2 linked regions of the Saccharomyces cerevisiae S288C genome follow. The gene in region 2 interacts genetically with the main gene of each other region. Each region holds a gene or a part of one and is shown on either strand. Other genes may lie near its edges. The genes, in order: KDX1 and GRX5.

Region 1 (3,921 bases), on a different chromosome or scaffold from region 2:
TGGCAAGGCATTTGCTAAATTGTGGCTCACAGTCAAGAATGTTATCAAATGAAAAGGGTTCTTCTTTTGCGGTTGTAGTTACAGGCTTCCTTTGCGTAAAAAAATTTTCTCTTTTCATTATGTTTGGGAAATTTTGCCACTCTATGTAATCTTTCAAAGAAATTCTCGCAGTTTGGCCTCTTCTTATCCCATTTGTAGAGAGTAATTGCTCGAAAGTAAACAGTGGGTAATCAGATTTCAGATGAACTTGAATTCTCAAGGGGTGTAATCTTTTCATCATTCAATCCCGCCAAAAGCACCTTTAAATGATATCAACTTTTTTGTGAAAATATTAGTAAGCTATTTAAAACGGGAAAGAAAACTTGAGAGAGGACTGACGAGGGAATCATGTTTATATTCGGATCATCGCGAATCTACGCAATGGTGTATCCTACTTTCTCACATTTTGGTTTTTCCCGCTTTCGGAAGGAACTGCAAAACCGCCGAGAGGACTTTCTCTTTTTGCAATATTTGAAGTATATACCAATAATTAAGAAGGTGAACAGGCATTTTACATATTCATTATAGATAGTGTATGTGCGCATCTATTAGTTGTGGTTTTCTGCTACAAAAATTTATCGTCTAAATAATTCAAGTTCTTTTTCTAGGTCGAAGAAAAAATCGCTGTCATCCTCATTTGTATTTTGGTTTGTACCATCATTGACATTTATATCGTGACCTGGGGGAGACGATGAAACTGGGCTCATTTTTGTTATATTTGGCTCAGTAGGTCCGTTCAGTAGTTCACTATTTTCATGCTTAGTATCTTGTTTGAAGGTGTTTTCCTTTTAGTTAACACCCTGAAATGAATTAGAGCTTATTCCCATAAGGTTTTGATATGGCTGGGTTGTAGTTAGTGATGGAAGTTGGCTTACATAGGAAAATTCAGGACTATAACTGGGTAAAACTTTCCTAGAAGGATGGACCTGTACAACTTCTTGAGGAATGGCATCCTCTAAAGATAGTGATGATGATGGGGAATCACCGCTAATAGGATGTTTTCTAACAACTTTCCTGAAATCAAATACTTCCTTTATAACTTCGTTTCCTAATTCCGCCATACTTTCGATATGCTCGAATTCGAATCTAAAGGTCTTTTGACATGAGAATTCCTCATCTATATCATGCCACATTGACAAATATGGATGCTCTAGTGCATCCTCTACAGTAATCCTTTTTTTAGGATCAAATTCTAGCATTTTCTTTAGCAATTCAAGCGCTTCTGGATTAGCACCAGGTAGTATGCTTTCAAACGATCTTCCCGGGATATTACCGAACTGAAAGATATAATTATACACCTTTTGAGAGGCAATTTCCTGCAATGTTTCCTCAGGTGGTGTTCCAAGTATTTGTAGAATATGATTCAAATGATCTACATAATCCTTCCCTTCAAACATTGGTTTCCTACCAAGTAGTTCGGCCAAGATACAGCCTGTTGACCAAATATCGACAGCTTTTGTGCATTCTTGATAATTCAGCAAAATTTCTGGTGCTTTATACCATATCGAGGTTATATAACCCTTAATGAAGCCGTCGTTAACCTTGTGGTTTTCTGAATAACTACACGATAGCCCAAAATTACAAATTTTTAGTTGGCAATCACTATTAACAAGTAAGTTTTTTGGTTTCAGGTCACAATGTAAAACATTAGCAGAATGTATGTATTTCAGAGCACACAGTATCTGATATATGAAGCTTTGAAAGTGTGCGTCTTCCAGGCGTTGTTCGGACCTTATAATTTGAGAAAGGTCACATTCCATTAGTTCTTCATATAAATAAACGCCATTTAGTGCCCCATTTGGGTAAAATACTATATCAGTATCGAAGAGCCACACTATATTTGGGTGCCCTCTTAAATGTCTTAGTAGTTTCAATTCACGAAGAGTTCTCTTGCAAGATAGTTTATTGCCAAACGCGTTTGGTATTTTTCTGATAGCCACGTGAGTTTCCTCGTTCGATTCTGTGTAAGTTGAAGAACAAATAAGGCTGTGTGAGCCCCGACCAATCTTACCTGTCAAATGAAAATGTTTATTTAGGATAAAATCTTGGCCGAATGCACGGAAAATACACCTCTCGGTGTCAGTCGCCATTTAATTGTGAATCTTTCTTCGATATCAAACTATTCCAGGCCGAATTAATCTGGCGGTAAGTCACCTTTAGTTATCCTTCCATTTTGTCCCTTTTCATCCAGTCTCAAACGACAATTAGGACTTACATTAAATAGGCTTTTTGCCTAGTATAACATCATAAAAGTACCTTCTTTTGTTTCTTCCAAAAAAAGACAGTAACCATCTGAAAAGAACGTCATTGTCGAAAATTACAAAGTTTGTGGCAGCGCTTTTTACTGCAGCAAGTCAATTGCTTTCATGGCATTTTCAATCAAAATACGAGTTCTTACTAATTCCTACGGTGCTTCCTGCATTGATTGATCGCGAGTTACTATTTTTAACTCGAATGGGTCTGCGCGTGTTTCTCCGGTGTTGTTCAAAATAATCTGTTTGCTGCGTTTAATAACTACAACAGTTAACGGAAACAGTGAAATTTATTGGGGACTTTCAAGTAACGAATAATCATGCTGGTAGAAATATTTCTATTTTTATAATTAACAAATCTTTTAATGACGTCTTGTGGGCTGAAAACTACGGCGTTTATTTTTTAGATAGGTTATTCCTTCGTTGGATTGAGTAAGAAAATGTCGATACTGTGTTACGTTTGCAAGGAAAAGATTTAGTTGCGATTAGCCATTCATTCTTGTGGAAACTTCTTTAAAAAGGGATGGCGATGGAGTACTTATGTCCAATTATGAAGTCAAATTTATTTTCAAACCGTTACACGTAGATTATTTTCCTGCAGTGGTAAGTATCTTTGAAGTGTTGAAAGTTTTTTGGCACATATTTTTTTGCGGATGTGGGCCTGAGTTTCCTGTTAGAAACAAAGATATGCTTAAAACTAAATAACATTGGAAATTAGGGCATAGTCTTCAATGTTATACTTAAACATCACAGCAGGAGATTGAGATGATTGAAAGAATGGTGCAAGAAATGATTCATTAACATTCTTCCAAGTTTTGCAATATTTGCAAGTATTACTATCAGACTTTAGTTGAAGTGACTATGCTATTACCAAATTTCACTGGAGCCAGAAAAATAAAGATCACTTAGAGACAAAGAAAAGTAACATCTTCAACATAAGCCGGAGCTCAAAAGTAGGAAATCGGATAAGAAACTTGATTCTGTTATTTCAAGTGATTTTTTGCTGTATCGCCCACGTTCTTGTTGTAGATGTTTTGTAGATGTGGGACCGAAAGTAAGTGAACAGTGAAGTAAACAGAATAGGATTCTAAAAAAGAGCTTATAAACTGTTCTTTAAAATTTTTTCTTTCGTGAATGTCCTCGAGCTATCTCAAAGAAAACGAAATCTTCATTCAACTTAAGTGTAGGTATTATTTGCTGTTTCATCAAATGCGGCACCAAAGTGGAAGTATTCTAGTCAGTTAGTTTTTCATTGTGAGGAATTGATATGTCGTTCTCTGATAGAACCACGCTAAGTTGGTGTTCAATTTTTTGCAATTCGGTAGTAATTATGCCTTGCAACATGTTTTATTCTTTTATAGTGTGATACCGTCAATATGATGATTTGCGGTGGAGCATGCATGTGCTTACTAGAAGTGCTGCTCTGGTGGGCATTTTAGGGACAAGAATAAATTCTTCTCTCCACTATCTGAACTTCCGTTATTCTTCTGCACGTAATTGCCGTTTTTAGGATTTTTTGGAGTTGTCACGGTATAGATATGTCTTATTGCGTGATTTCACGGTGTCTTGCACACAACATTTCCAGGTCACAATATTTGGTTCGAGGTTCCCAGCAAGAATTCATTATCCT
Region 2 (2,811 bases):
ACGAGTTGTACATTAATATACGATGTAAGCATTAGATTGTTACCATAGCAACTCATGTCACTATTAATTACTCTCGTTCCAACAATCAAAGAATATTAAATGAACTTCAAATATTAAGTAATTCTCCTTGTTCTGCTTCTACGGCTCTAATCCATATTAGCATACCCGATTAATATAATTGCCTGCGATCGAATACCCAATGTACTGGATTTTGTTGGAACAAGTGATTTATCACAGTTCACACTGTCGTGAAGTAATTTGACGGTATATATCATATATAAACAATATTCAATGGTGAAATCAGCAGTTTGCGTTGAATTAAGAACATATACTACTTGAACATAAACTGGGGTTCATGTAAATGGAAAATATGAGCCATCGCATTGAGCATATGGCAGTCATAAGCAGTTTTGATTCTGCTTAAGATTCAATTAAAAGTAATTGAAAGAGTAAAATGTTTTATAGTTCAGTTAGTAACTTCGAGCAAGCTAGTGCTTGCCATTTAGGCCATTGAATAATTCAGTACGAGTATATGCTTATTATTATGGATAATTGATGCACTAGAACACAAGGAGAACGAGTATTTTAACAAATTGAGCTATTACAAAAGGAATACTTAGATACGGCATTATCTGACTTAAGGCTTCTTCATTAGTGATTGATTAAAAGAAAAAATAGAATGCAAAAGCTAAAGGAATTAAGCGAAACTAGGTTCCAGTAACACTTAATTTAGTAGCCTTATCAATATTAAGAAAGGATGGTAACCTCTAATATATCACTGCCATGTAATGAACTTCTATATTTTAGGGATTTAGGAGGGTTCTGATCTGAATCACTTATGTGTTTTATATTTTCTACATACAGCGCGACTGCTGTTTTCTATCCATAATTATTTTAAGCATGCGCTATCGTTTCTACCTAATGACAAATTGTGGTAACAGCCAGATTTATCTCAATATACATTAGTAGTCAATATCTCAAACGACATCGAATGCCGCACATAGCCATTTATTATAACAGATGAGAACCACATCACTTTTTATTACAAGGTGTCCATTATGACGACTGTAGAAGTATGCAAATCATAAGTTAGCCCAAAGAAGACATTTAGATTTTCTTACGACAATACTAATTAAGGTACCACGAACAAAGAGAGAACAGTAGGTATGTTGTATTGCTACGCCAACTTTTCTTGTGATCAAAAAGTTCAATGCATTCATTCTTCTTTATAATATAGTACAAACTGTTAATTTACTACATACGGAATCATGAGATTCTAAATTTAGTATACAGAGCTTAATTTATTCAATAAAGCATAACTAGTGCCGTAAAGAGTCTAAACCGGTATTTGGCACTGATCTGAGCTTATTGGAAAAACGTTACCCGACCAAAATAAATCACTTCTAGGAAGTAAAGGTATAAAGTATTGATGACAAATGCGTTCTAGTCCCAAAGGGACAAGAAGTTGTATTACTCTTTTCACATATATCAAGGCCACAAAGGTATCTGTTTACTTTTTGACTTTAGCAAAAATTTGAGGAAATCAGACAATGTTTCTCCCAAAATTCAATCCCATAAGGTCATTTTCCCCCATCCTCCGGGCTAAGACTCTTCTTCGTTACCAAAATCGGATGTATTTGAGCACAGAGATAAGAAAAGCTATTGAAGATGCCATCGAATCGGCTCCAGTGGTTCTTTTCATGAAAGGTACTCCTGAATTTCCCAAGTGTGGATTTTCAAGAGCAACCATTGGATTATTAGGAAATCAAGGCGTTGACCCGGCCAAATTTGCGGCTTATAATGTTTTAGAAGACCCAGAGCTACGTGAAGGTATCAAAGAGTTTTCAGAATGGCCAACTATTCCACAGTTATATGTAAACAAAGAATTCATTGGTGGATGTGATGTTATTACAAGTATGGCACGCTCTGGTGAATTGGCCGATTTGCTAGAAGAGGCACAGGCATTGGTACCTGAAGAAGAAGAAGAAACCAAAGATCGTTGATTTTGTTACCACTGGAAGCAAAATAGGAACTGGTGGCCGAACACTTTAATACTCGTGTGCATAATAGGCCTTTACGATCCATATTTATATATGCATGTACATTTGCTATTTTTTTAAAGATTTGTAATGTATTCTCATGCCTTTAGACTTGTAAATAACAGATTCTCTACTTACAAACCCCTCTCTTTGCTTTGCCAAATGAATTGACGTTATAAAACAAAGAAGTGAGAATTATGAATATATTTAATATTCCCCGCATAGACTTGAATCAAAAAACGTTAGTTTTAGAATGACAGAAGCCATATCTTCGTTCTGATTCAACGTGCGAAAGACGCGACAGACATTTGTTGGGGTTGTCTTTGTTACTCTCTTGATTTTCGATAGATTCCGTACTGTTACCAGTTTGCTTTTCCCCCATTTTTTTTAACGTAAAAGGATTGGAAGATAATAGGCGAGCTCAATTTTATTGCCCTGCGAAGCTTTCAAATATGTTAGTCAAAGGATCAAACTTCCTTTTGAAGGTGATAGGGATATAATGAACACACAATTGTGCCTTTAAGCCATTACTCACGAGTGGGATAGAAATGAAATTCTTTTCTTTTAAATGGTATTAATAATTAATATATTAAATAATTATATTGATTCTATACATAAAACATTAGTGTGAAATTTTCGGAAAATAATAATAGAAAGTAAAATCAAATGTAAAATTAAAAAAATGATGTTAAAGGACGCCAAAATTTGTGAAAAAAAATTGAAAATAAAAATTGTGTGTTAAACCACGAAATACAAATATATTTGCTTGCTT

The links.
Region 1: of GRX5 (region 2) and KDX1, changing one enhances a phenotype caused by changing the other (phenotypic enhancement), as found in Saccharomyces cerevisiae (one study listed by BioGRID).

The regions. Positions count from the first base shown.
Region 1 is NC_001143.9:148,559-152,479, forward strand, and holds KDX1 (putative protein kinase KDX1), read right to left. Parts: upstream 2,130-3,921; coding exon 828-2,129; downstream 1-827. Other genes in the region: YKL162C (type II protein arginine methyltransferase), read right to left, coding at 1-280. UniProt on the Saccharomyces cerevisiae protein: Serine/threonine-protein kinase involved in the SLT2 mitogen-activated (MAP) kinase signaling pathway that regulates cell wall integrity. May also be involved in the mating pheromone and the CWI MAPK pathways.
Region 2 is NC_001148.4:443,029-445,839, forward strand, and holds GRX5 (monothiol glutaredoxin GRX5), read left to right. Parts: upstream 1-1,550; coding exon 1,551-2,003; downstream 2,004-2,811. UniProt on the Saccharomyces cerevisiae protein: Monothiol glutaredoxin involved in mitochondrial iron-sulfur (Fe/S) cluster transfer. Receives 2Fe/2S clusters from scaffold protein ISU1 and mediates their transfer to apoproteins, to the 4Fe/FS cluster biosynthesis machinery, or export from mitochondrion.